7 linked regions of the Daphnia pulex genome follow. The protein of the gene in region 2 binds, or shares a complex with, the protein of the main gene of each other region. Links are inferred from orthologs where the notes say so. Each region holds a gene or a part of one and is shown on either strand. Other genes may lie near its edges. The genes, in order: pre-mRNA-processing-splicing factor 8, U4/U6 small nuclear ribonucleoprotein Prp3-like, small nuclear ribonucleoprotein F, probable small nuclear ribonucleoprotein E, small nuclear ribonucleoprotein Sm D2, U4/U6 small nuclear ribonucleoprotein Prp4-like and small nuclear ribonucleoprotein Sm D1-like.

Region 1 (4,039 bases), on a different chromosome or scaffold from region 2:
ACAATTTCAACTTGAAACCCGTCAAGACCCTTACAACCAAGGAGCGTAAAAAGTCACGTTTCGGAAATGCTTTCCATCTTTGTCGTGAAATCCTGCGTTTGACGAAGCTGATCATCGACTCCCATGTCCAGTATCGTCTCAACAACGTCGATGCTTTCCAATTGGCTGATGGTCTTCAGTATATTTTTGCTCACGTTGGTCAATTGACTGGCATGTACCGTTACAAGTACAAGTTGATGAGGCAGATCCGAATGTGCAAGGATCTTAAACATCTTATCTACTACCGCTTCAACACTGGCCCAGTAGGAAAGGGTCCCGGCTGCGGTATTTGGGCTCCCGGATGGCGCGTTTGGCTCTTTTTCTTGCGTGGTATTACCCCATTGCTTGAACGATGGTTGGGCAACTTGTTGTCGCGTCAATTCGAAGGCCGTCACTCAAAAGGTATCGCCAAGACTGTCACCAAGCAGCGTGTCGAATCCCATTTCGATTTGGAACTTCGAGCTTCTGTCATGCACGACATCCTCGATATGATGCCTGAAGGTATCAAGCAGAATAAAGCTCGTACCATCTTGCAACACTTGTCTGAGGCCTGGAGATGCTGGAAAGCCAACATTCCCTGGAAGGTGAGATCAACTTTTAATTTTCATTAGATGTAATTTCACTTTTCTAGGGACGGTCAAGCCAAAAATGATGAGTTGTGCAGGGGTCATGAAACCGTCCGCTGGTGTTGGACGGACGTCTAGGTTGGTGCTGGCCGTTTGCTAGACGACCTAGACGGGACAACGCACTCACTGATTGAAATCTAGATCTTAATCTTTAATTATTTTAACTGACATTTGATACTTACGTTTTCAATAGTTTAAATGTTCTTTTCTTTTAATCATGTTAGGTCCCTGGATTACCAACGCCCATCGAGAATATGATTCTTCGATACGTCAAGATGAAGGCTGACTGGTGGACTAATACGGCTCATTACAATCGTGAACGTATTCGTCGTGGTGCAACTGTCGACAAAACAGTGTGCAAGAAGAATTTGGGACGTCTGACCCGTCTTTACCTCAAGGCTGAACAGGAGCGTCAGCACAACTACTTGAAAGACGGTCCTTACATTTCGCCCGAAGAAGCTGTTGCTATCTACACCACCACTGTCCATTGGCTGGAATCGCGTCGCTTTGCTCCAATTCAGTTCCCTCCGCTGTCTTACAAGCACGATACTAAACTGCTCATCTTGGCGTTGGAGCGACTTAAGGAAGCCTACAGCGTCAAATCGCGTCTCAACCAGAGTCAACGTGAAGAGCTCGGTTTGATCGAACAAGCTTACGACAACCCGCACGAAGCCTTGTCGCGTATCAAGCGTCACTTGTTGACGCAGCGAGCCTTCAAAGAAGTCGGTATCGAGTTCATGGATCTTTACAGCCACTTGGTACCTGTCTACGATGTCGAACCGCTAGAGAAGATCACGGACGCTTATCTGGATCAGTACTTGTGGTATGAAGCCGACAAGCGTCGTTTGTTCCCACCCTGGATCAAACCGGCTGATGCTGAGCCACCTCCATTGCTAGTTTACAAGTGGTGCCAGGGCATTAACAATCTGCAGGTAAATTTGCTCGTCCATTTTACAAATGTTCAGTTTTTAAGGTTTATTGGGCGGAGAAATGATGAGTTGTGCAGGGGTCATGAAGCCGTCCGCTGGTGTTGGACGGACGCCCGAGTTGGTGCTGGCCGTTTGCTAGACGACTTGGGCGGGACAACGCACTCACTGATTCAAATCTAACTTAACTTAAGAATTTGATATATCGTGACCAAACAATAAAGATTATTCTTTTCTGCAGGATGTCTGGGAAACATCGGATGGCGAATGTAACGTTATGCTGGAGACGAAATTCGAAAAGCTGTACGAAAAGATCGATTTAACATTGCTCAATCGTCTTCTGCGTCTCATCGTGGATCACAACATCGCCGATTACATGACAGCCAAGAACAACGTCGTCATCAATTACAAAGACATGAACCATACAAACTCGTACGGTATCATCCGTGGTCTTCAGTTCGCCTCTTTCGTGGCCCAGTACTTTGGTCTGGTACTTGATCTCCTCGTCCTGGGTCTCCAACGTGCATCGGAGATGGCGGGTCCGCCGCAGATGCCCAACGATTTCCTCATTTTTCAAGATGTGGCCACCGAAGTCGCTCATCCCATTCGGCTCTATTCGCGCTACGTCGATCGCGTCCACATGTATTTCCGCTTCACGGCTGAAGAGGCTCGCGACCTGATCCAACGTTACCTGACCGAGCACCCTGACCCCAACAACGAGAACATTGTGGGTTACAACAACAAAAAGTGTTGGCCGCGTGACGCTCGAATGCGCCTCATGAAGCACGACGTCAATCTTGGCCGTGCCGTTTTCTGGGACATCAAGAACAGGTTGCCGCGTTCCGTTTCCACCATTCAGTGGGAGGGTAGCTTTGTCAGCGTCTACTCCAAGGATAACCCCAACTTGCTCTTCAACATGGCTGGATTCGAGTGCCGCATCTTACCCAAGTGCCGTATGACACATGAAGAGTTTACGCATCGCGATGGTGTTTGGAACTTGCAGAATGAGATCACCAAAGAGCGAACGGCCCAATGTTTCTTGCGCGTCGATGACGAGTCGCTGCAAAAGTTCCACAACCGTGTCCGTCAAATTTTGATGGCTTCCGGGTCCACCACTTTCACGAAGATCGTCAACAAATGGAACACGGCGCTGATTGGTCTCATGACCTACTTCCGCGAATCGGTTGTCAATACCCAGGAATTGCTGGACTTGCTGGTGAAGTGCGAGAACAAAATCCAGACTCGTATCAAGATCGGCTTGAATTCAAAAATGCCTTCGCGTTTCCCTCCCGTCGTATTCTACACCCCCAAGGAGTTGGGCGGTCTTGGAATGTTGTCCATGGGTCACGTGCTCATCCCTCAGTCTGATTTGCGTTGGTCCAAGCAAACGGACGTCGGCATAACCCATTTCCGATCGGGTATGTCGCACGACGAAGATCAGCTCATCCCCAATTTGTATCGTTACATCCAACCGTGGGAAGCCGAGTTTATCGATTCCCAGCGAGTCTGGGCTGAATATGCACTCAAACGTCAAGAAGCCTCTGCACAGAACCGTCGCTTGACCCTTGAAGACTTGGAAGACAGCTGGGATCGTGGTATTCCTCGTATCAACACCCTTTTCCAGAAGGATCGACACACTTTGGCTTACGACAAAGGATGGCGTGTGCGCACAGAATTCAAACAGTACCAGGTGCTGAAGCAGAATCCCTTCTGGTGGACTCATCAGCGTCACGACGGCAAACTTTGGAACCTGAACAACTATCGTACCGACATGATCCAAGCCTTGGGAGGAGTTGAAGGTATCCTTGAGCACACGCTCTTCAAGGGAACCTATTTCCCCACCTGGGAAGGTCTCTTTTGGGAGAAGGCGTCCGGTTTCGAAGAGTCGATGAAGTACAAGAAGTTGACTAATGCCCAGCGTTCCGGTTTGAATCAAATTCCCAACCGTCGGTTCACTCTGTGGTGGTCGCCAACCATCAACCGAGCCAACGTCTACGTTGGTTTCCAGGTCCAACTCGATTTGACTGGCATTTTCATGCACGGCAAAATCCCGACGTTGAAGATTTCCTTGATTCAAATTTTCCGTGCCCATTTGTGGCAGAAGATCCACGAATCCGTCGTGATGGATCTTTGTCAAGTTTTCGATCAGGAACTTGACGCTTTGGAGATTGAAACTGTGCAGAAAGAAACTATTCATCCCCGTAAATCTTACAAGATGAACTCTTCCTGCGCCGACATCCTTCTCTTCGCCTCGTAAGTGGAACTTATTTTTCTGTCTTGTGTTTTCCTTGTTGTAATATTTGTTACATGTTCTTCATTTTGTTTTTTCAGGTACAAGTGGAACGTTTCTCGGCCATCCCTTTTGGCTGACTCTCGTGATGTCATGGACAATACCACCACACAAAAATACTGGATTGATGTCCAGCTGCGTTGGGGCGATTACGATTC
Region 2 (5,087 bases):
GACTCAAGATTCCGTTCACATGAGGTATATTTTCTACAAATCTTGATAAACAAAGTTTTCAAAATTATTCGTACGTTTACAGGGAGAAGTATCATATGTGCGCGTTAAGGAAGATAGCGGAGACGGTAAGTTATATTTCAATTTTTGTTTAAAGTAAATATTGACCTTGAATTTTTTCTTCTATAGGTCGCAGCGGCGGAACTCGTGATCGATCGCGATCTTATTCTCCAGCCGGTGGTGGCGGCAAAACACGTGGAAGTCGCGGCTCCCCCAGCTATTCCCCCGTTCGTCGTGGTGGTTCATATTCCCGTTCGCGCTCACGCTCACCTCGTTCCAGATCACGATCTTAAAAAAGTTATGGAAACGAGAAAAAGGCAAAACTAAACAAAAAGACAAAAGTTGTGCGATGTGGACAACAAAAAGCTTAAGGATTGGAAGGACTGGAGGAGGAAAGGGGTCTTTGGTATTGTCTCCATGGTTCATACTATATTTTCAAAATTCTTAGATGAATAGCAAATCTTTTAAATTGCAAAAACCAATTTTTTTTTTTTTTACAACAAGCTACATCAAAGATTTCAATTTTTTATGAGAAACTCAAAATATGTTTCTTGGGTTATGATTTTGGCATTTGCAATTATTGCTACTAATCATTCAGTTTCTTCTCGACGTACACGTAATCCTTTTTGGTTTCGAATACCCTCAGAGCTCCCCGATTCCAACCAACTAATTTTTTTTTTTCCGTGAGCAACCTCATCCTTTCCTTTTTCCCCTCCCTCTTGTAATACACAAAATAGCTGTGCGTCGAATAAACATGATTCTCATTTTCTTCCCCTTTCTATTTGTAGCGTACACAGCAAGGTTATTGCTCTCTCTGGATGGGATTGTTGTGGGATTTGGATTGCATTGGATTTGGATTTCATTGGAATGGATTTGGATGGATGCATTGTGGATTGATAGGTGACAGGATCTGGAGGATATGCTGGAAACAGCAACCGCTTCTCCTTTGTCTACAACCGTCGTGGTGAATCGCTGTGGACTTGCCTTGTCAGGACCCGTTTATTTTAAAGAGATCTGTTGGACTCCGGCACTTTGGAATTGAGCCCGACCTAAGACAAGAGTTAACTTAGGATTGCTTACCCTTTGATTTTCAGGCACTTTTTTCATCATCATACAGAGAAAGAAGAAACCGACGGATGACGACAAAATGGAAATAATACATGCCTTGCAAATGGTGATATTTCCTTGGAGTACAAAGAAATTCCTTCGATGTTTACCGATACTTCTGTTTTCGGCACATTGGAAACAGTATTACCATTTTAATGACAATTTTTTTATGTATGATACGATTTAATACAACCAGTGAAATGCTTTTGAAAAAAAAATTATGACCAAAATTATTCTGTTCTCTAGACTAAAACAAAAATTTGATGACGTGTTTAAAATACAAAGTTGCTTTTCGTCTTAAACACAGAAAGAACAATTAAAACAATTCGCATTACGATTACTCACCATAGAAACTTAACGTAGAAACTGTTTCAGAGAAAAAAAATAGGTTTTTGTTTAGTTTTGATTTCTTTCTAAATTTATATCTCCTTGTCCTTGGAACCAAAAATGAGAAACAAAAATGCTTTGAACTTGAGCGCTTGCTTCTTCTTTTTCTTTTTACGAAAGTCCCAGTACTTCCTTAAGATTCCTCTAGATGGCGTCTTCGCGTTGCTTGGGTAACCAAAAACGTATAAAAACGTACAAATTTTCCCCCAAAATAGTGTAATTACACATTCACTTTGAGCATACTCAAAAAAACATATAGTTTGAAATTATATATTTGTACAGCGTTTTGAGTTTATCATCTGAATTTCTACGATTTTTCTGTGCATCAATAGGCTCTTATCGGTTGTTAACCGGTCTCTAAACAGAGCAAGTTTAGACCTGCAGTTACGAACTACAGTGGAAGATTGAAGCATTGGTAAGAATAATTTTGTTTTTTCTTCAATAAACCGATGATTTTATTTCACAATACATTCGTCATTTGTCATAGATTAAACATTGTTAGAAGATATTTTCAGTACGTTGAAAATTGTCACTATAATAACATTGTAGCAGAATGTTTCTCTTCAGTAAACAACAACTTTTCTTTCTTTTTTTTTAGGCATCTGTGATATAGGTTTTTTGGGGTATTTCCAATCATGGCTACTACAAGCATAAAAAGACCTAAAGAAGAAGATTCACTCGATGGACCTGGTCGAGAAGCAAAAAAGTTAAAATCACGATTCCAGGATGACAGCAATGGAGATGGAAAGAGTGACCAGGATACTACTGAACAACTCTCTTCTTCTCAGATTAGAGAAATGATGATGAATGCTCAAAAGATGATTGAGGAAAGGAAACGATCTCTCAATCAACCGCCAGCTCTTCTCAAGACTACCCCAGTGCTCTCATCACTTCCAACACCTGTAGCTCCTAAAGCCGTTCCCCCATCTTCAATGGATGAGCGTGCCAGAAAGATTGCTGAACTACAGGCTCAAATTCAGTCAAAACTAGCCACCTCCACTTTAGCCACATTGAACTTGAGTCTTCCTAAAACAGCCAGTGTCCCTGCATCAACAGGGGAAGGGTCTAATAATGAGCCGAAACCTGGCCCACTTATTCTCAACGCTGATGGAAGGACAGTTGATGCGACTGGTAAAGAGATTGCCTTGGCCCAATACACACCAACTCTCAAGGCAAACATTCGTGCCAAAAAACGCGAGGTGCTCAAGACTCACATGGGCAAAGGATCTCAACAACAAAGCGAGGAAGCGGGAAATTTGACGGAAAGTCGCTTCTTCGATCCACGTGTTGCAGCCAAATCCTCCGTGAGAACACGCAGAACCTTCCACTTTCACGAGCAGGGCAAATTTCAGCAAGTGGCATCTCGAATGCGAATGAAGGCTCAGTTAGACAAATTGCAAAGCGAAATCTCTCAAATTGCCCGTAAGACTGGCATCAATTCAGTCACTGCACTTGCTCTAGTTGCCCCACGAGTTGGCGATCGTCAGGAGGAGGAGGACATTGATTTGGAATGGTGGGACTCGGTCATCTTGCAAACACGAAGCTACGAAGGCGAAGACGGACAGCCCAATTTACGCCAGGAGACGATTACCAATTTAATCGAACATCCCATCCAAATGCGTGCTCCCACCGACCCGCTGGCCTTGCCCTATTTGCCCGTCTTTCTCACCGAGAAAGAGCGCAAGAAGTTGCGCCGCACCACTCGACGTGAAAATTGGAAGGAGAAACAAGAAAATATCCGTTTGGGACTGGAACCGCCACCTCAAGCAAAAGTTCGAATTTCTAATTTGATGCGCGTGTTGGGCAACGAAGCCATCCAGGATCCAACCAAAATTGAAGCTCACGTCCGCGAGCAAATGGCCAAACGACTTCAAAATCACCAGGAGGCAAATGCCTCTCGAAAGTTGACGGCTGACCAGCGACGCGAAAAGAAGGAGAAAAAGCTCCAAGAAGACACGACAACGAGCGGTGTGCATGTGGCGATTTACCGGATCAAGGATTTGTCCAATTTATCCAAGAAATTCAAAATCGAGACCAATGCCAAGCAGCTTTACATGACGGGATGCGCAGTCATTTTCAAGGACGTTAACGTCGTTATAGTCGAAGGAGGCCCTAAACAGCAGAAGAAGTACAAACGCTTGATGCTCAATCGCATTCGGTGGGAAGAGGACGCCGTCAAGGTTAGCAAACACGACACTGGTTCATCCTCCCAGCCCGAAACGCGGAATTCCTGCCAGCTCGTTTGGGAAGGCACGACCAAACAACGCAATTTTGGTGACCTCATCTTCAAACTTTGCCCATCGGAGGTTGTGGCTCGAGAACATTTTCGCAAACACGGCGTCGAACACTACTGGGACCTGTCTTATTCCACAGCAGTGCTGGAAGAAACTGAAGAAAAGTGATCGGTTTCATTCTGCCATCAACTTTAACTCTTTATTTTTTTCTTTTCATTTTTGAACCAAACGTTCATCTTTGAATATTACCATCAATAAAAAGATTTGTCTTTATTTCTTTTTTTTTTCTTTTTTTGTGTACAAAAACGGGGAATGTTATACAGGTCTTCGCAGGAACATGACAGAATATATCCTTTGACGCTGGGCAGCTTTTCAGGCACTCGGTGAATAGAAGGTGTAACGTGGTGTCGTGACGGGTTGCAAAACAAACGATAATCCGACAGTTGTTTGTGTTTGGTGATCTGTTGTTGGTTCTCCGTGACCTATGACGCAGCATAAGGAAAAAGGTGGTATTTATTAGACTAGTTCGTGATTGTCATTTCTAACAGATTTTTTAATAGTTTCCTTTTCAGCGAAATTGAATTTAGAATTTTTTTAAAAGGAGGAAACTAACCGCCCAAGGCTTCAAGTGATGACAGGAGGACAAAGCCGACGAAAACGGATAAAAGCTTAATTAATCCATTGCCGGATTTCCTTCGCTCGCGTTCCAACACTTCGAGAAATGTGACGTAAAGGAGAGTTCCGGCTGCGACTCCTTGAAGGATGCCGATGGTTAACGTGTGAGACGGCGTAGGATCTTGAAAATATTCCGTGACGAATATTCCAATGGCCACTCCGATAGGAGTGATAAGACCCAGTGTGACCATGTAGGCAATGTAAATGCCTACACGAATGTGGGAGGCCAACATCTCCATCCCGATACAAAACATGATTGCCAGCTCGTGAACTGTAACGGCTGCAAATAGGAACCAAATGTCCTTCAGAGTTGGCTGCAATCCTATCGCCATTCCTTCGAAAATAGAATGGAACGACAGTGCAAAGACCAACAGGAAGCCGCGTATCGCTGCCGCGACAGATCGTTCTTCCAGGTCCGACAGTATGGGTGGAGGCCCATGGCTATGCCCATGATGGTTGTGTCCATGATGGCTGGAATCGTCGGAATCGTTGTCAGTTCCTTCCTCAGTCACGCGTTTAGTGCCTATGTCCTCTTTAGGCACTGTTATAATCGTCAGCTTGTGGCGATCATCTTCCGAGTCAGATGTGACCATTTTAACAGGACTTTGGCCATTGACCGTAGGAGAT
Region 3 (3,291 bases), on a different chromosome or scaffold from region 2:
CTTTGAAACTGAATCGCAATCACGAGGAAAAACCAAGAAGTTGACTGACCTCATCACCTGCGCCTGCTTAAATGTGATCCTGACAGTAACGTTTTAATCTTCGTTGTCTAGTTAGGAACGTACATTTGTACAATGTTTATTATTTGTTTCAAACCGTAGTAATTCATCTCGGAGTTCAACAGCCTATAACTCCCCTAACGTTCAAACGACAGTGATAACTTGCGCATGCTTACCGTCCTATAGTGTTAACAGCCGTGTTACATGCAGGCCAATTGAAACGTATTGAACAATTAATATTCATAAGCAATTAGGTATTCTTATGACATCAGCTGGTACCAGCGTGAGCCAATCGGAAAAGGTGTTTCCGGATTTGTTTGCCTTTTTGATTTATACCTTACAAAATATATTTACGAACAAGTTGGTGTAAGTGGAAAAGAAATGTGACTTGAGTTTTACGAGCATGCGGGACTGCGGGCTGCCTACTAACTTCATTCATAAGGTAGCTTAACCATTTTCCATTTAGACAAAGCCTTTATTTTCCGACTAAATGGAAAAAATCGCCGGAACGTAAGAAATTCCAGTATACTTAACATTAAATCACCAATACGGTAGACAACGGTTCTGTGTTTGGAATTTGGATACTGAAAAGCTGTTTTTTTACTTGTTTGTCCTTCGTTGTCTGTGGGAATCTTGTAATGTATACACCAGAACATATTTTTTAGGGTTTCCAGGTTTCCTATACAATAACTTCTATGAGATAGATAGGAAATGACATTATGTATTAAAGGATGAAAAATTCAATACAAACAGCAATCAATCTCTCATTTCTCCCTCCTCATCATCTTCTTCCACTCCACGTATGTAAAGTACATTGTTGCACCTGACAAGAACTTCACCCAAGTTTCCAGTACAGCTTCCATCAATATATTCTTCTGTGTTTGCCAACTGTGATAATATAAGAAGAATTATTGCCATTGTTCATATATGCACACTGTTTCGTGCAACAGCATGTTTTCATTTTTTTACTGATGAAAATGCACTACATGGTATAATTATTACAGTACCTGAAGATTCATGTATCCATCAACTGAAACGAGATAACCTTTGTATTCATGGCCCCACTTCAGTTTTACCATAATCGGTTTGCCGGTTAAGGCATTGAGAAAGGGTTTGGGATTGATGGGCATGGGTGCCTGAAAATATGAAATATAACATGTTAGTAAATGGTCGGCTAAAAAGGACCACCCAACAAGATTTAGGTTTTGAACTTACTGCCATGATTTGTATTTGTTTTAGTCAACGATTTTACAAAATTTGATTGAATGTTTGACAAGCGAGTCAAGCCGCGTTATTTCAGTTTACACGTTCTGTAACGTAAAGATCAGAAGTAAGGGTTGCCAAGTCGTCTTATTAAGTACATCAAATTTTGAGAAAGTTTTTCCATTTTGTAGGAAAGAAATTTACATATTTAAACCTAATAACTAGTGAACTAAAATTACCTTATAAAATAGGATTATTTAAATAATTTTTTGATGTAATGTAATGAGATATCCATCGTAGAGCAACGATCCCGGATCTCTGGTTCCGGACCAAAAACTCACGTCACCTATTCTGTTTTCAATCATAATAGCTGGAAAAATTTACAACCAAAGGAGAATTTTTTTTTATGTATCGTTATTAAGTGATTTTGTTTAATAAGTGACTCGTGGTCGTGGATATGAAAAGTCTTTTTAACAAATTGGCAAGAACAGAGAAGCTTCACAACCAGAATTAGCGCTCTCTAAAAAGTAATAAAAGAGGGTTTTGCGTTTCGCGGAATTAAAAAGATAGGAATTTATCACAGTTTGTCTTGATACAGAAAGACTTTTTAGGTTCAATTTTACATTTTGGAAGCTTTTAAACGGTCAACAAACCGGTTTCTTATTTCACTCCGGTGTCCATTCCGCGCAATTTCCTTTATTATCGGTTACCGAGTGTAAAATCTGGCAGTAAAGCTTGTACGGTGTATGCAGCAGAGGCTGAAAGCAGTGCACAGCTGGAATTTGCCGTTATATACGTGGACACACAACAAGTTGCTCAGTTGCTGACACTAAACTCTATCTTACCATTCTTTCATCTTTTTGCACTTTTTTTAAAGTTGACGTCACTTTCCAACCGATTGTTTTTCTTCCATTTCCTCACTGGGTTCCATCATTGGACCAAATAAACGAACAATCGTTCCACTGTTAAGACGATTTGTTGATTTTAGTCTGCCATGGACATTTTTTGAAAACAAAAGCTGACTTGTCTTTTTCAGCAATATTGAAATAAGATGTTTGGTGAGTAAATAACTCTCCCTTTTCCATTGCTCAGAAGTTTGTGTTGATTTTGAGTTGGTTGTTGGTAGTCACAAGCTTGACAGTTAGTTTCGTGAATGGTTAAAGAAATTCAATTGTAATTGAATTTGGTACTCTCTCATTTTCAGGGACGGTATGGATTTTGATTCACCGGGTACCACCTACATTTTTCCTGATGTGATGCAACCCCCAATAGAGCTTGAAACTGTCAACCCCCTGCCAAGCAGGGGTTGGCCGGGTGGAGTTAAGGGACATGTTCGCTCTGCAAGTCATGGTGTCATCGGAGTTTCCTTATTGAATCCAACATTACATCCACAGCCCTCTTCGCCATCCCCTGCAATTGGATTATTGGAGGCAGCTTCAGGATTGAATAAAGGGGAAAGATCTTCACAAGATGCTTCTTCTGCCAATCCAACAGTTTTAAAACTTCCTTATACAGGTATTTTTAAGGTTTCAGCACTCTTGATTTCTTTAGCAAGAAGACTTGTAATTCCTGTTATCTTAATTAAATATTTTGTTCATTTCATTGATAAAACCTTCTTGGTATTTCCACCATGCATTTGATTTACCATAGCTATTCCAAAACTATTTTGATTTACTTAATTCCTCATAATCACATTTAATTTGTTTACTAATAGGAATTCTACGCCAGGGCCATACTAGAGCATTATCTCAAGGTCAGATTCCTAATCAGCAAGTCCAACCTACTAAAGGACACAGTCGGACTGGTTCTCGGACGGATTTCCTCCTGCCCCCTGGCCACCAGGATCGAACAACCAGTGGTGCAGTCCATGGTACTAGACACAAAAGACAGGTTTCCCGAACCCTGTCAAACGATGTCTTCACTAAGGGCCATTCACGGCAAGCTTCTAGGACGGAATCAATTTACACGATTCGACAGACCCGAATCCCATGGGTTAACCGATTTCTTTTCTGGAGGCAAGCAAAAACTCCT
Region 4 (3,422 bases), on a different chromosome or scaffold from region 2:
AAATTAAATCAAATCAACACGAGAATAAAACTTTTACTACGTATCTCATTTATCTTTAATAAATGCGTTTCACTTTTTCGGTTTTAATTTAGAAAATACGAATTTAAAAAAATATATAAAATGGATATTCGCTCGGTATGAAAATGATTACAAAGAATAGCAACTGTCGCTTAAAAACGAGAGACCAACATGATAAAATACAATTTCAATTTCAATCAGGTCGTGTTGGTTAATTAAATTATTGCTAATGCATCCACTATTGGAACATGTGTACTCGTCGACAATTCGCAGCATATAATAAAAAAGTTCTTACCTGTTGCCTCCACCTTGATGAATTTCGTTTGGTATTGTCCTTGTCAATATGTCGGTGGTGTGTTTTCTTCATCTGGTGCCAAGTGCCAAGACTATTGCCAGGATAACTTCCTCTGATTACGTCGACGTCAATCTCACTCTCACTATAATCAAATGGTTTGAACAACACTGTGAACTGAGTTGGCAGACCCACAGAGAAGACTGCGCCCTAATTAACTACTTCCTAATTTCAGTAACTTGACGAGACTTGACGAGACTTGACGAGTTTCAATTTCAATTTTGCACTGCAGACGAACATTTGTGAGAAGAAGCGGCGATGCCAATTTAAATGTAAATAGACTTTCTTTTCTTTCTCATTTTTCATGCCAACGTAAAATTTGAAAATTGACTTTTACCAATTTTGAATTAAATACTGTAGGTGAGATGTGACACAGTGACACACTTGGCAAATTAAAACCGTATGTTTTATAGTTACGTCAGAGAATGCCCTCGACCCCTCGTATGAATATGTCCTTATCTTCTTTTTAAAAAAATTATTCCACGAACAGAACAGCGAAACTCATTGTGGATCCCAAGGCGAGAACAGCCCAAAAGTTGACATTAAATGAAAAGTATTAGCAGTATTAGCTGTGATTCTGTGAATTTTTCCAAGCAGCAAGCATCAGTTGTTGTAAGGAAAGGAACGGCAGATCGGCGCAGAACGGCCACACGCCACAAGGCCACAGCCCACAGGCCCAGTCAGCAGAGTAATAGAAAAATATATTAATTCTACAGGTTTTTTGGCATACGGGAGGATTAGTTCAAATTTCGCCAATAGATGGCTTTTTGGAATTTTGAACTGCGCGCGTAGAAATTGGAAAACGGTTTGAACTGCGCGCCTCGAAAATGAAAAACAGTTTGAACTGCGCGCGTAGAAACTGGCATCTAGGCTCTAGCGACCAAAAGTAAAAGTTAACTGGCATCTATCTAGGCTCTAGGCGGCCTAGAGCCTCCGCCACAGCACACACCTAAGTCACACCCCAATGTTTGAATGTTTGACATAACTTTTGAATGTTTCGATATGTTTTAATTGATTTCGATATGTATTATTTTTTATTAGTATACGATTTCAAGTAAAAATATCGAAATAACTTAAACGAAGCGTAAGAGAGGGTGGGTGTTGTGGTTTGGTTTGTTCTAACTGTTTACAGATTTATCTGTAACTATAACTAATTATTTTTTATTTCATATTGCTTATGAAAATAATAAATTTTGCTGTTACTTAAGCTAAAAAGAGAGTGCGACGTGGGGTGGCGGGGCGAAGCCTCCGCCACACCTAAGTCGCACCCCTTATGATTCACAGATATTTTTTGATGTTCCGATAGGCCTTGTTTGATTGATACTATTTAATGTAAAAGTATAACAGTAATTTAAGCGATTAACGAAGCAAGAGGGGGGGGGCGGGGGTGGCAGGCGAAGCCCGTCCCCCCTCCCATTCACCATACCGATAGATTCATGTAATTAATTTTGAATTTCATGTTTACTTTACTTTTGCTTTTTTAAATTTTTAATTGATATTATTTCCTACGGGAACCTCGCAAACCGGAACGGGATGCCAGCATAAAAAAAGTAATATTCTGTTACTCTGGCTTGGCTGCTTGGCTGCTTTGCCTGCTTGCCTTTGCCGCCCTTGTCTTTTTGAAAAATATCGGAAAATCCCTACGAGGAAATAAATATCTGGCAACGTTGTTGGCAATTGAGCGTCTGTGTTCGTTTCTTCTTCAACAAAAAGTGTAAACTCAAACAACTCTCATTTAGAAATTTGATAATTTTCCCGTGTGGAATCAATTAAATATCAATTCAAGATAAATGGCAGCCCGAGCACCTAAAGTCCAGAAAGTGATGGTTCAACCCATCGTAAGTTTTCACCACTATCACTTCGATTTCAGCACGAAGATTTATTAACCGGCACGTGTGTCAAAAATGTCTTTTTCCAGAACTTGATTTTCAGATACCTTCAGACAAGATCAAGAGTAGACATTTGGCTTTATGAGAACATCAACATGCACATGGAAGGACACATTGTTGGATTTGATGAGTACATGAACATTGTTCTCGATGATGCAGAGGAAGTCTACGTCAAAACAAATGTCAGAAAACAGATTGGTAATGACGTTTTCATTTACTCACAATTATTCTGTCTTCTAAATGCTGTTTTATTTTAGGACGGGTGTTGCTGAAAGGTGACAACATTACTCTAATCCAAAATGCTGCAGGAAGTGGAGACGACTAATCTTCCTATATTAATTGGTCAGAATGCATTCCCAATTTGTGTTCTGTCGTGTATTACCTTTGATTAACGGGGAACTGATTTTGTGTACATCCAATCTTGATGTGCTGACTGATAAGAAAAACATGATGCTACAACCACACTTGAATATTTCATTCTCAACATCTATTTATTATTTTTTAGTTTTATATAAATTTCCCTAGTAATATTTTCCAATATTTATTTTGATGAAGCCTAGCCACTTTTACACATGAAAAATGTCTCCGGCAAGAGAATAATTTACACAATGACAAGAATAATCATGTTTTGAAAACAAGTCATTTCATGTGGACTACAATAATAAAAATAACCTATTGCACAACATTGTGTAACCACTTAAAATAGAAGGTACAAGTATAAAATCAATAAAAGTATCAATGATATCAGCCTGTTAGGTGGGGGGTGTACAACATAGCAAAGAGTGAAAACTAGCAAAATTTCAGACCCTAAAAATAAAGTAGTGTTTAAAATAATTACACATACATAATTATCAATTTATTATGACACTTCGATAACAGAGAAGCTGTTGCAATTCAAACTGGAATTGCTATTGTGTCTAGAACCGCAGCCCGAAGGCGAGGGTGACGGGTTGGACGACGAATCTTTTATTATTTTGCTGTTGTTATTATTATTCGACGTAACCAAGACTTTGCCATCCAGGGCTCCGCATGAATAGCGTTGCGTTTGACTATCGCGGCGTGATCTGCTGCTGGCCACTCTCAACAAGACCAAAGTCTGTTGCTGGCTGTCGCTAGTTTTACCGTTAGTTTTATTCAGTTCCAATTCCAAATGGATGTTGGTC
Region 5 (3,561 bases), on a different chromosome or scaffold from region 2:
AAGTTACTATAATTATGGTCTCGTAAAACCGGAAGTGAGAGAAAATGATAAGACTCTTTCTCGTGTATCTCATCTTACTGTTCCAAGGTCTAGTCGCCGAAAAGGTGACGTTATCGTACGACTTGCCAATGCCTAACCAGTACAAGTCAACAAACCTCGCAAGAGTTACTTGCATCAGCAGGAAATAAAAAAGATTACACACACGTAAGGTATGCATTACTGTACCCCAAATGAGTGAAAAACTAGTGGAACGGAAGTCCATTACTACAAAGAGATCTTTGGAGAACATGACACCACGCATAGCCGGTAAATGCACTTAACTCTAACTCAGACATTGTGACACAAAAAATTGGTGGCTAAAGTTGAAGAATATGTTAGGGAATTTCGCAACCTATGCATAGAGATGTGAGCTTAGACGAAATTTTCAACCGAGGTGAGCTAAATTCAGAATGGGAAGCCGGCCCCCCGCCAAGCCTTGCCGCGTTCGTCAGTTAAGCACACACAAGGATAGAACTTTTCTCCCTGAATCGAGGACTTTGGGACAGAAATTGGAAGAATTCCACACGTATACAGCAAACACATTTCTAACGACATGACAATATCAACGTTACTCACCATTTTGGACTAAGAAAAAAGTCTAGAAAAATTTCACGCAAAGCTCAAAGACGCCTAAACTGAAAGATCAACCCGAATGACTGCGGGATGAGACGGCACTGGGGGGAGTGAGTGGTGCGAGTGAGAGAGAGAGAGAGAAAATGCCCTCGATAAGATTTTACTCGTGGCGCGGCGAAAGAAGAGGGGAAACTCAGAGTAGACTTCTCTACACCGGCCGGGACCTCGCACTGCAAAATGGCGGCTGTTCCCCAAACTTGAGAAAACTTGGCGCTACCCAGTCCACACCCAGAAAAGCGCGTCATCTGGGGGTGGAATACAGCGCCGTCAAACGATGCCTATTTCGAACCATATTACAAACTTCACTAATTTATCACAAATAAAACATATAATGATAGGCGCATCATTTATCATTTTAAAAATAATTTGTATGACTCTTATTCTGTTTGCTGTTATGTAAAATCTCAAATGTCGTTAAATGAATTCGGGTAACCGCCAGGGGTCTCTGCTTGCTTAGCGATTGAAGGATGATGCCGATTGTAGAGAATTTTGTGTGTACTGGTTGCACATTCTCTGATTGGTTGTCCATATCGGGCGCTTGTTAACCCGAAAAAGGGGAGCCCAAACCACAAACCTGGAGAGAGTTACGAAAAGTAACTTTTTCTGTAAAATCCTCTACTCGCAGATTTTTCTGCTTGAGCAAAAAGTTGCCGACTCTAAATGATCATTCCGACTTCCTAATAAATGGTGTGCATCTCGCATGAGTGTTTTAACGAAAAAAAAAAATTATTGGGCCAGTTGCACACTTATTCTTTCATTCAGTTTCTCGGGGAGGATGACCTTTTATGGGCAGACATCGATGACTCACATTTTTACTTCCCCTCCCTCTAATCTGCCCTCCCCTCCCCTATGTATTAAAAATCTGAAACTCTCGGGACCGGTGTCGACAACTTTCTCTGTTTCTATAATTTAGACCAAAAAGTTTCAATTGCCATAGATCGCCTTCGCACAATGAACAGCCGATAACAGCGTGATTCGAAAGTTTTCGCCGTTTCAGGATGACTTATCAACAACGCTGGAAAGCGTTCTCCATTGGGGACCATGAGAAAGAATAGTCTGTGCATACGGGGGGAATATGTCCATATATGGCATTAGACAAGCTATGCTACATAACATAACATCTGTCGGCTGACAATTGTCAACCGCTTCGGTTTTCTCTTGACTCTACTTTCTGAGGTTTGTATTTCCTTTCCTCTCGACTAAAACGAATTCCAGTACAGAGTCCCAGACGTCTGACGTCTGGGATTGTAAATGTTTTTCTTGGCAAATTTCATTCTTTTCTTTTCACAACAATTATTAGAAATTGAAACGTGTCTCTTAAAAATGTAAGTCAACATTAAAAAACAATTTTTGGCAATTAAATCGCAAATAAGACATAAAATAGCATCAACCGTCTAATGCTAATTAATACAATATGACAACGCAGCATGTACGTTTTGTTTACGAAAAACAAGTGAATAACGGTTTGAAAAGTTAAACGAAGCCGGGCTCAAAAATATTCCAAAGAATATTTCTCTATCCGTTTACATCCTTCTATTTATCATGGCGTAAGTAAAGCTTAAGTTCAATTTCAAAATAGAAAATTTTTAAATCTATATTTTCAGCTAGTTACAGTGTTCCGTGTCTGCAGATTTTTCTCTACTTGACAGTTTCGTATGAGCACTAAATAATAAATGTTTCTTTCCATAGGGCTGTTGCAAATAAACCCAAGTCGGAGATGACACCGGAGGAATTGGCCAAACGGGAAGAAGAAGAATTCAACACTGGACCACTTTCAGTTTTGACTCAGAGTGTAAAAAACAACACTCAGGTCTTGATCAACTGCCGTAACAACAAAAAGCTACTGGGACGTGTTAAAGCTTTTGACCGTCACTGCAATATGGTTCTAGAAAATGTCAAGGAAATGTGGACTGAAGTTCCCAGAACAGGGAAAGGAAAGAAGAAGGTAATTTTCACTATTTCTGCATTCATTCATTCATCTATCAACAGTGACAGTTGTATATTTATTTTATAGAGCAAACCAGTCAACAAGGACCGTTTTATCTCCAAAATGTTCCTACGTGGAGATTCTGTAATATTAGTATTAAGAAATCCTTTGGCTGGTACTCCTGGAGCAAAATAATTGTATGTGTTTATCTCTCACTTTTGTATGAAATAAAAAAATCGAACAGCGGAAAATGTGTTTTATTATCTCGTTTTATTCCAATGTTGAAAGAAAAAGTTACAAAATCAAACTTAATCTTTTTCGGCAATTGCAGTCAGATGCTTATCGATGTCAGTTTCCGACAGAATTCTATAACAATCAGATCAGTCACATTAATTTCCTAAACTTAAATATTTTGCGCATTTTCTTACCTAAATCCTGGTTGATCCTTAGAAACAACTCCAATTTCAATATCAGATGGCTTGAAATCAGCAGTTAGGATATGAGACAGAGTTGTAATAGCAAGCTGGATAACTTCATCATGTGTGTAGTTTTGTTTCTTTTTGTATTTCTTCTCAAGATACGACGATGCCTCGGTTTGTTTAACACCCACTGAAGTAGCACGATAACCACAGTAATATCCTTGAAAAAAAAGTAAAACAGCAATAAAGCATACAATTTGAGAACTTTACACCCTATTTTAGATATATACCTGCTGGGTCAGCTTTGTATACAGCAGGCCCCAATTCTTCATCATATGCAATGACAATCATACCTAAACAGGAAAAAATTAAATAAAACTCCATTACAACTTGAATTACTGAGGAAATCTTACTGCAACCAAGGGGACGCATTTCAGCATTCTGGGTGTAAACCTGGCAAATGTCTGCAATACGTTTGCACAAGACATCTACAGGAATTTCATAGCCATACTTGTATTTCCAGTTTGCAGCTTCATACCGAGC
Region 6 (4,485 bases), on a different chromosome or scaffold from region 2:
ATTTTGCTTTATTCTCGAACCTTGTTCATTGTAAAATACGACTTCATCACCACGACTCTTCAAAGCTTCGAGACCTATGCACTCCAGAAAATTATTCACCTTACTATTGGGAATATTGAATACCCAACACACTCAATCACACCGTAAGTTTTTTCCGTTCAAATTTTTTTTTTCTTCAGATTGATGGGCATTGGTTACCAATCAACTGAAATTTGTCACAATCATGTGGATTGCAAGTAAATGTTTCTCTGTGTAAAAATGAGATAAGATTTTAGTGTCTACTTATATCGGATGATTGAAAATTAATTTAGCTTTTGTCGTATTTTTATATGAATATACTTTAGGAAATTCCAATACCTCGCAGATTCTATAACAGGACGATTCTCGTCTATTCTACGAGGTAACTTTAATAGTCAATCGGCATCGGAGCTATTACATAAACGTTCAACAGGTGAAGAAACTCAAACTGACTTCACTTCCGACAGGTAACATAACTAAATCAGACATGACACATTGATACGTTATAATGTAGAAATGTCGAACAAAAGTTTTCAAGAAAGTTCTTGCTTTGGAATTAGATTGAAAAGAAACGGCGTCCGAATTTTGTTTGGGTCCGTGCCGGCAGAACCCAATTTTACCCAGTTATGGAATCCATGGAGCAAGGCAATTCCCTGGTTAACGTTTTTATCGCATCCACTACTTTCAAGTAAAAAGATTGCAATTCTGTTAATCATTATTCGATGGATGTTAACTCTTATTTTTACCTATGAATTTTAGCTGAACACACGACTCCTGCTATATTCGACGTTAAAGATTTTACAGTCAACCTACAGCGAACTTTGCAAAACGAGTACCAGGGTTTAGTTGAATACAAGCCAATTATAATGAATTCGTATTTAGGGCTTCCAGCATTAGTACACAACTACAGTCAATTCGGATTTTACAAAGTACGAGGGAAAGTAAGTTTTTAATACTCCACCCAATCTTCCCAACCAATAGGCTTCAACTTTTTTGTATTTAATTTATTAATGTTTTCGAAGTCCAATACACAAATAAAGAAATCAAACAAGCATGGTCGTCTTCGAAGCTGCACTCTATACTTCTACATTTATTCAGGGGACCAAAGCTTGTAAGTGCGATCGTACGAGGCTGTGGCGATGAACGACCCGTCAGGCGATACATCAACTGCCATAACCTGTAACAATAAAATAAAAAAATTGAGAAACACATCACAAACGTATCTGATTAAAAAATTTACTTTTCCGTCATGTCCCGAAAGGGTTTTCAATGGTTGCCAAGTGTTACTCGCCCATATCTAGGGCAGAAAATTATTTCAAATATATATAGATGACAAATGTAACATTTAAAGAATGCAGAAAGAAAATCTATTAATGATTATTCATACCTTTGCGGTACAGTCATATGAAGATGAGACAATATACTGTCCGGAACTTCTTTCGAATTTCACGCTCGACACTAAATTTGTGTGTGCAGGAATAGTATAGATACAGGATCTCTTACGTAAATCCCATATTTTACAGGTATTGTCTTCACTTCCAGTTACTATGTGGTAGCCATTAGGTGATATATCGATGCCCAAGACACCTTTTAAATGACCTTCCATAAACATGATGCAGCGCCCAGTTCTGAGGTCCCATACTCGACCAAAAGAGTCCATGCCACTAGAAAAAATTCCACATGTAATTAAAATATTATGTTAACATATTTTTAGGTGTTGGTACCCTGTGATAGCCACTGAACCATCAACATTGAATGCTATGTTGTATACAGGTTTGGAATGCCCTTCTTGATGAAGAACTTCTACACCCTGTTCTAGATCCCATAGCCTCCAGGAATTATCAAAAACACATGTAGCTAAAAATCTTCCAGAAGGATGAAATTCAACTTTTGACACTCGATGCGGAGCATGTCCTTCCATATCAGCAATCGGCTCTTCACTTTCTAAATTCCACAATTTGACTGCGCCGTCCATGGAACATGAAGCCATATTTAATTCTGAAGGTTCTAAGCTCAAGGTGGCTTGTGGATGGAAGACTATTGCTCCAACACTACACTTGTGGCCTCTCAATGAATGAGACAAAGTGCAGTCAGGTACATTCCACAATTTACACAGGCCACTCCTAAAACATGAATTGTTTTTTATTATCTGATTAACTCTCTTACAATCTCAGAATATTTAATACCAGGAGGCAGTGGCCAACAAATTTCCACTTGGGCTGAATTGGCAATATGATATTGGTCTTCCATCACCAACTTGGCTGCACATGATGTTCATACCTCTCATCCGTTTCACCATTTCCTGCCTGGAAAAGAAAAAATATATTAATTGGGATGTGCTTTCATAACAGAGCATATTTCAGACCTTTTGGCTGTTCTTGTTGATTCTGGTATTTCAGATTCAAGTTTCACATTAGATAACCTTTGTTTTGCTCTGGGGAGGGAATAATATGCTAACCACAAACGAGCAATTTTGAGTGATTCAGGACCTTCATGATACCAAGTGGTTTCAGTTTGATCTTTCTCAACCTTCACAATTTCTTTTTCATCTTCTTTTTTTCTATCGATCAAATCATGTCCATGAACCGAGAGTAACTCTTTTAATCTATTTCGGCGATCAGCAGGTCCTTCACCAAAAAGGGTTATTGGTTCACCTAATTGCCTAAGATGTTTCCGAATTTCCCCATCGTCAATTGTGATAGCGAAACCGGTTGTGGACGACATGTTTAAAGAAATGTGTTTTCTAATTGAACTTTTCCTGTTTTGATCTCAATGTTTAAATATTATAGACACCGACACCTCGTTTTGTCACGTTTTTGTTGTCAATACGATCGTTCTTAAATCTTAAATAGACTTTTACAAGCCAGACGACTCCCAAACGAAAAGCGACTTACGGTATGAAAAAATCATGTGCAGCATACAGAGCCACTGGTGGAAAACTGGAAAACTATGTTCCATGTACTCATTCTTCGGATAATAAACTGCCGCTCGCAAAAGAAATTTTAAATTATGATGTGTGATTTATTACACTACCTAATATACAAAACAGCCAGTCTGAATAATACCTGAATACTGAATCTTCGGTTTATATTACCAATTTGTGATTTCGATTAGAAAAAAATTATTCGCACTCATAGTGCAGCACATGCCCATCTGGGATTTTTTTCCAAAAATGATTTTGTTGCAACCTATAAAATTGAGGTTCAGCTCAGCATACAGTTGTTAATAGCATAAAATGCCTGATATGCGATCGATTACACATGCAGCAGACTGTGTAACAGACTGTGTAACAGGCCAATTTGGTGTACGGAAACATTAGGGAGTATACTAGGCCTAGTATAGGGACATAACCAAAAATGATGTTTGAAATATCAGATTGTCAGTTCAAAATTTGGTTATCCATTTTATGCATCTAATTTTAGAAAACTGTATAATAACTACAAAGAATTGTTCTTAATAAAGATCTGTATGAGAGGGAAAGGAATAAAGGATGTATTCTATTAACGCTTTAGATACAGAAATTTTATATTCTTAGTATTTCGTAGGATTTCCGGATATAATTATACATGCTTAAACACGGCATTATTTATTGGAATTTGGCAATTTGCAAAGAGACACAAGACACCACACAGACTAAGATTTGAAAACCTGTCGGATCCTTCCGCCCTTGCCGCTATTGAGTGTGTGGGCCGGTCTTTAGCTCCGGGCGTCATCTAGTTGGAGCTTGGTTAGTCAAAAGCACTGGCATAGGAAAACTGATCGCTTGACCGGCCTTCAATAATACAAGGCAGACACACTCAAACAAGCATTTTATATTTTGGAAGTTTGCAAATTTCAGGTGGAAACTATTTGGTTACTTTCAGCATGGCTGCTGGACCTGTTTCAGAAAGAAATCAAGGTAAGAAATTTAAGTTTATTATGCACTAAAATGAAATGACTATGTGAAATTTTTATCATTTTCAGATGCTACCATTTATGTTGGTGGGTTAGACGAAAAAGTTACGGAGCCCTTGCTGTGGGAGTTGTTCGTTCAAGGTGGTCCTGTAGTAAATGTGCATATGCCTAAAGATCGGATTACTTTACTGCATCAAGGATACGGATTCATAGAATTCCTCAGTGAAGATGATGCTGACTACGCATGTAAAATTATGAACATGATAAAGCTGTATGGTAAACCCATTCGGGTAAACAAAGCATCAGCACACCAGAAAAACTTAGATGTTGGAGCAAATATTTTCATTGGAAACTTAGATCCTGAAGTTGATGAAAAACTTTTGGTAACCAATCAGCATTCCTTTAGGTTCAAAACACAATTTAATCTATTATTGCTTTTTTAGTATGACACATTTTCAGCATTTGGCGTAATTCTTCAGACACCAAAGGTAAATTTGAAATCATTGTTGGGGTTTTAAATTTTACTATTTTGTTTTTTTGAATGCAGATCATGAGGGATCCTACAACAGGGAA
Region 7 (3,817 bases), on a different chromosome or scaffold from region 2:
GCAGCTTCATATAGGTTAACGAAAAACAAAACTTCTAATCCGTTTTCTTACGATTTGAGGGGAAAATAATAATTATAAGGATAGATCAGGATAAATTAAATTACAGAGATGCAAACTATAGCATATTTTTAACAATATTACCAACATTGGAAAATTGAATGTGAGTCTATCGGAAAATTGTAAAGCAAACATCGCGTGGTCGATATAATCTGAAAATTAACGTCCCTGTCCTGTGCTAAATGCTTTGAATTTGTCGTAGGAATAGTATGTATTTCTTCTAACGGAAAAAAGAGGTTGGAAAAGAAAAAGTTTTGTGTGGCCACAATAGCAAATATGTAAGTCGTTCAATAGACAAATATTTATAATTAGAGCTGCAGCTCACCATGATATCAACAAATTTCAACTTATAGTCAAAATTTGGAAAAACGTTATCACCTGAACCATATTTTGAACCAAGGTTTGAAGCTATGAAATTACACTTTATTTAAAGGTACTTTTGATTCCCAATTTTGAACTTTGAATTTAATTCTTGGGACTTCTTAATTAAGGATTTCCGCTTTGCATTATCGAGTTGATTCAGTTTTAAATCTTCATCACGATCAAAAGGTTTTCTTTCTTTAGGACCGGACGAGTTGTCTTTCTATAGAAACAAAAATCTTACTTCAAATTACCCCAACTTTAACAGCAAAAATAAAAATGTAGGATTACCTTGCTTTTCATTTCCTTTTGATGTGTCTTCAACAAACTCTCTGACCTCTTCTTGGATTTATCATGCATGGCCACAATTTTCTCAAGCTTCTTATTCCTTTTTTGTTCCAAGTATTGTTTCCTCATTTCAGCTTCAAAATCCTCATCTTTTTCTTTGGATGTACTAGGCTGCTAAAATTATATTAATTAAATTATAGAAATTAGCAATGACCAGCTAAGAAAATTTCATTATATGTGTATCTATTGTACTATCTGAACCTTGGAAGTTGGTGTTGAAGTCCATTGATCTCTCCCTACAACCTCAGGTTTGTCAGAACGATTAAAGACACGAGGTCCCAGGCCAAAGTTTTTCCTTTTCAGTTCTGGAAGCTCAATCATCCAATCTTCTCTTTTTGGTTGCTTGTTGGCTTCATCATCATCCACACCAAGCAACTTCCTCTTCATCTTAAGAGCCCGCTGTTCAATGTCAACTGATGAACTATGTTCAGCATCCATACAATCAGCTGGCAGTGGTCCAATAACTTCATCATCTGATGAAGAGTCAACTTCATGATTAACAGAGCATCCTCTGTCATTGGAGATATTTGATTGCACTAACTTGCTGGACACTTTCTGTGATTTTAAATGAGCGGGAAGTGCTGGTCCGTAGAGATCACCTTCATCAGAATCTGAATCATCATTTTCATACGCTGTTTGAAGATGAGGAGGTAATGTTGGTCCGATTCGAGACATTTTGAGAGGGAAAAATTAAAACCACGCGGGAAATTGAGAATGCGTTACCGACAAAGAATTATTTTTAAAAAATCGAAAATAGGTGAAACCGAAACCCAATGTTTAGCTTACTGGAAATGCTGTTATAGTATGCAGGCCTGTCTCATGTGTTTTCTGTTTTGGAGTACGTTTTATTGTCACTCATGTCATGCCACTTGTGTTCTATGCGGTTCTATGATACGCTTCGATAATGCTTCTGGATTTATGAATTTATTTTGATAAATAAATTTAAAATAATAAAAAAAAATTATTATTAGTTAATTTTTGATTAAAATATGCAAAAATAAACCTTGTCTAATAACAAAATTCAAAATATTTGCGTAGATGGCGCTACGTTACAAGTACAAAAATCATAGTCATCGACCGTTATGAAATATGAAATGTCACAGGGCCTTTTTAGTATAAGTTATGCTTCCAACAAGCAGTTTTGGTTTTTGACTAGCGTACCTCGTGCGTTTCACTAAACTAAGGATTAAAACATTCAATAAGTCGTATATGGTGATTTACTTTATTACAGCCATCAAACAACAAGTTTATCAAAAATGAAATTAGTGAGGTAAGTTTCGGAATATGTTCATTGTCAAGTAAATTCGTACAGAAAGTAGCCACAAAAATCGGTTTGGTCTGGGTATTAAGCCGGTTGTTGGATGCGTCTGGGAAACTATGCCGTTTCTATATTTCACAACTTAAATAGTTCACTGCTTTCAATTGAAATAAATACCATTATTTTGTATAATCCTTAGGTTTTTGATGAAACTGAGCCACGAAACAGTCATTATTGAATTAAAAAATGGTACTCAGGTTCATGGAACAATAACAGGTAATTCAATTTTGTTGTCTTTATTCGATTTTTTATTTTACTGCAATCCTTAAATACTTTCTTCGAAAACTTAGTGAAATTGCAAACACATAAGTGACATTTTAGAAGAAAAGTTTTCCGTTTTGTATATTACTAAATTCATTCATTTGATTATGTTTTATAGGAGTTGATGTTGCTATGAACACTCATTTAAAAGCTGTGAAAATGACAGTTAAAAACAGAGACCCTGTTCAGCTTGAAACTTTGAGTATTAGAGGAAACAACATCCGGTACTACATTTTACCTGATTCACTTCCTCTTGAAACCTTACTATTGGATGATTCTCCGAAAGCCAAGGCCAAGAAGAAGGATGCTAGCGGTAGAGGTAAACTTTTTTCCCCTTATCACTGTGTTCCTCTTTTCATTTTCTTTTCTTTTTTTAGCTCGTGGAAGAGGCCGTGGACGCGGAGCTGTCAGAGGAGGACGTGGACGAGGACGTGGACGTGGTGCTACTGGTCCTCGACGCTGAAATTTGTAATTTCCAACGATTTTCCATTTTTTTTTTCGTTCTTTTCAGCAAATGTGGAATCAGTTTTCATTTGCATTACAAATTGTCATTGTCTTATATGTTTTTTGGTCAGTTGAAAAGTCCTTAAAACAAACACTTTTTTCCCCACAGTTGAGTCTGTATGAGAATTATTTATCAATTCCAATTGACTCCCATGTAAGCATAGATAATTTGTAGAGAACCGTCAATTCCTTTTCTTGATTTATAAGCGGACATCGCATAACGTTTCCTTGCTTATTTCAAGAATATTGACTATTCTTGCCATTTTGTCAGAGGAGTCGGGGAAAAAACAAGTGTAAAGAGCGGTGTAATAAGTAATGAAAGTTTGATGGAAATGAAAGTTAAATTACTTTTCTATTAAATTTAGACTAAAACTATTCAATTTTTTGTGACTAAACCATTAAACTTTAATTTAAATTAAGAATGTCGCAAATTTAAGGAAAACTTGACATGTTTAAGAACAGTCGTGGCTACAAGTTTTATTTGCTTTTGTAACTTCAGTTTAAGAGGTATTTGCGTTTAAGAGGCTTTCGGCGATATCTGCTCCTAATTTTCTATTATTCATACATAGAATGAAATGCAAAATTTGCATTTTCCTCGTTTTCCCGCCAAGATACAAAATGAAACTAGCAATGTTTCTGTTTCGAGCACAGGTTTATGTTAACAAACTATTAGAAATTAAAATTGAAAACAACCTTAAGACTTAAGTCCTTACTGCAAGGCCATTTGGAATATTCGTAACAAAAACTCAAAATCTGAAGCGTAAAAAACAATAGTGATGTAATTCAAACCAAGGTTTGATTTTCTAGTCGTCAAAGAGAGGGCCAGCTTGATAAGACAAAGATTTGTGTTAAAATAGTGCACGTGTTGAACGTATCCACATTCAACGTTGAGAATTGTTTATCATTCCGTGAAGCTCTTCCATTAAGAATCGTATGTAAATTTTTTTAACTGAAATTATTGCAGGGCAA

What was found.
Region 1: U4/U6 small nuclear ribonucleoprotein Prp3-like (region 2) and pre-mRNA-processing-splicing factor 8 share a complex: the UniProt entries of both Homo sapiens proteins name them as parts of the U4/U6-U5 tri-snRNP complex. The link is inferred for Daphnia pulex from reciprocal best matches to the Homo sapiens genes PRPF3 and PRPF8.
Region 3: U4/U6 small nuclear ribonucleoprotein Prp3-like (region 2) and small nuclear ribonucleoprotein F share a complex: the UniProt entries of both Homo sapiens proteins name them as parts of the U4/U6-U5 tri-snRNP complex. The link is inferred for Daphnia pulex from reciprocal best matches to the Homo sapiens genes PRPF3 and SNRPF.
Region 4: U4/U6 small nuclear ribonucleoprotein Prp3-like (region 2) and probable small nuclear ribonucleoprotein E share a complex: the UniProt entries of both Homo sapiens proteins name them as parts of the U4/U6-U5 tri-snRNP complex. The link is inferred for Daphnia pulex from reciprocal best matches to the Homo sapiens genes PRPF3 and SNRPE.
Region 5: U4/U6 small nuclear ribonucleoprotein Prp3-like (region 2) and small nuclear ribonucleoprotein Sm D2 share a complex: the UniProt entries of both Homo sapiens proteins name them as parts of the U4/U6-U5 tri-snRNP complex. The link is inferred for Daphnia pulex from reciprocal best matches to the Homo sapiens genes PRPF3 and SNRPD2.
Region 6: U4/U6 small nuclear ribonucleoprotein Prp3-like (region 2) and U4/U6 small nuclear ribonucleoprotein Prp4-like share a complex: the UniProt entries of both Homo sapiens proteins name them as parts of the precatalytic spliceosome. The link is inferred for Daphnia pulex from reciprocal best matches to the Homo sapiens genes PRPF3 and PRPF4.
Region 7: U4/U6 small nuclear ribonucleoprotein Prp3-like (region 2) and small nuclear ribonucleoprotein Sm D1-like share a complex: the UniProt entries of both Homo sapiens proteins name them as parts of the U4/U6-U5 tri-snRNP complex. The link is inferred for Daphnia pulex from reciprocal best matches to the Homo sapiens genes PRPF3 and SNRPD1.

What each region holds. Positions count from the first base shown.
Region 1 is NC_060027.1:2,053,154-2,057,192, forward strand, and holds part of pre-mRNA-processing-splicing factor 8, read left to right. Parts: coding exon 1-623; intron 624-889; coding exon 890-1,597; intron 1,598-1,832; coding exon 1,833-3,844; intron 3,845-3,922; coding exon 3,923-4,039. UniProt on the Homo sapiens protein: Plays a role in pre-mRNA splicing as core component of precatalytic, catalytic and postcatalytic spliceosomal complexes, both of the predominant U2-type spliceosome and the minor U12-type spliceosome.
Region 2 is NC_060024.1:10,557,985-10,563,071, reverse strand, and holds U4/U6 small nuclear ribonucleoprotein Prp3-like, read left to right. Parts: upstream 1-1,702; 5' UTR 1,703-1,721; exon of another isoform or gene 1,722-1,767; intron 1,768-1,883; 5' UTR 1,884-1,966; intron 1,967-2,149; 5' UTR 2,150-2,186; coding exon 2,187-3,953; 3' UTR 3,954-4,058; downstream 4,059-5,087. Other genes in the region: serine/arginine-rich splicing factor 1-like, read left to right, coding at 1-24, 83-125, 187-350; zinc transporter ZIP3-like, read right to left, coding at 4,158-4,267, 4,399-5,087. UniProt on the Homo sapiens protein: Plays a role in pre-mRNA splicing as component of the U4/U6-U5 tri-snRNP complex that is involved in spliceosome assembly, and as component of the precatalytic spliceosome (spliceosome B complex).
Region 3 is NC_060019.1:9,593,171-9,596,461, reverse strand, and holds small nuclear ribonucleoprotein F, read right to left. Parts: upstream 1,420-3,291; 5' UTR 1,279-1,419; coding exon 1,273-1,278; intron 1,194-1,272; coding exon 1,065-1,193; intron 946-1,064; coding exon 814-945; 3' UTR 805-813; exon of another isoform or gene 763-804; intron 751-762; 3' UTR 569-750; downstream 1-568. Other genes in the region: phospholipid-transporting ATPase VD-like, read left to right, coding at 2,472-2,775, 2,975-3,291. UniProt on the Homo sapiens protein: Plays a role in pre-mRNA splicing as a core component of the spliceosomal U1, U2, U4 and U5 small nuclear ribonucleoproteins (snRNPs), the building blocks of the spliceosome.
Region 4 is NC_060026.1:14,103,720-14,107,141, reverse strand, and holds probable small nuclear ribonucleoprotein E, read left to right. Parts: upstream 1-2,035; 5' UTR 2,036-2,160; coding exon 2,161-2,208; intron 2,209-2,288; coding exon 2,289-2,457; intron 2,458-2,516; coding exon 2,517-2,584; 3' UTR 2,585-2,723; downstream 2,724-3,422. Other genes in the region: serine-rich adhesin for platelets-like, read right to left, coding at 3,119-3,422. UniProt on the Homo sapiens protein: Plays a role in pre-mRNA splicing as a core component of the spliceosomal U1, U2, U4 and U5 small nuclear ribonucleoproteins (snRNPs), the building blocks of the spliceosome.
Region 5 is NC_060018.1:304,632-308,192, forward strand, and holds small nuclear ribonucleoprotein Sm D2, read left to right. Parts: upstream 1-1,826; 5' UTR 1,827-1,997; intron 1,998-2,066; exon of another isoform or gene 2,067-2,098; 5' UTR 2,099-2,214; coding exon 2,215-2,219; intron 2,220-2,361; coding exon 2,362-2,617; intron 2,618-2,686; coding exon 2,687-2,794; 3' UTR 2,795-2,850; downstream 2,851-3,561. Other genes in the region: cofilin/actin-depolymerizing factor homolog, read right to left, coding at 616-618; proteasome subunit alpha type-6-like, read right to left, coding at 2,908-2,965, 3,028-3,238, 3,309-3,371, 3,432-3,561. UniProt on the Homo sapiens protein: Plays a role in pre-mRNA splicing as a core component of the spliceosomal U1, U2, U4 and U5 small nuclear ribonucleoproteins (snRNPs), the building blocks of the spliceosome.
Region 6 is NC_060018.1:6,530,580-6,535,064, reverse strand, and holds U4/U6 small nuclear ribonucleoprotein Prp4-like, read right to left. Parts: upstream 2,883-4,485; 5' UTR 2,743-2,882; coding exon 2,384-2,742; intron 2,325-2,383; coding exon 2,205-2,324; intron 2,142-2,204; coding exon 1,743-2,141; intron 1,683-1,742; coding exon 1,406-1,682; intron 1,316-1,405; coding exon 1,259-1,315; intron 1,196-1,258; coding exon 1,109-1,195; 3' UTR 997-1,108; downstream 1-996. Other genes in the region: tumor protein p63-regulated gene 1-like protein, read left to right, coding at 1-143, 345-485, 579-706, 778-971; splicing factor 3B subunit 4-like, read left to right, coding at 3,883-3,916, 3,982-4,295, 4,356-4,400, 4,460-4,485. UniProt on the Homo sapiens protein: Plays a role in pre-mRNA splicing as component of the U4/U6-U5 tri-snRNP complex that is involved in spliceosome assembly, and as component of the precatalytic spliceosome (spliceosome B complex).
Region 7 is NC_060020.1:8,496,198-8,500,014, reverse strand, and holds small nuclear ribonucleoprotein Sm D1-like, read left to right. Parts: upstream 1-1,872; 5' UTR 1,873-2,021; coding exon 2,022-2,035; intron 2,036-2,222; coding exon 2,223-2,299; intron 2,300-2,462; coding exon 2,463-2,663; intron 2,664-2,721; coding exon 2,722-2,807; 3' UTR 2,808-2,903; downstream 2,904-3,817. Other genes in the region: GPALPP motifs-containing protein 1-like, read right to left, coding at 485-640, 709-879, 967-1,440. UniProt on the Homo sapiens protein: Plays a role in pre-mRNA splicing as a core component of the spliceosomal U1, U2, U4 and U5 small nuclear ribonucleoproteins (snRNPs), the building blocks of the spliceosome.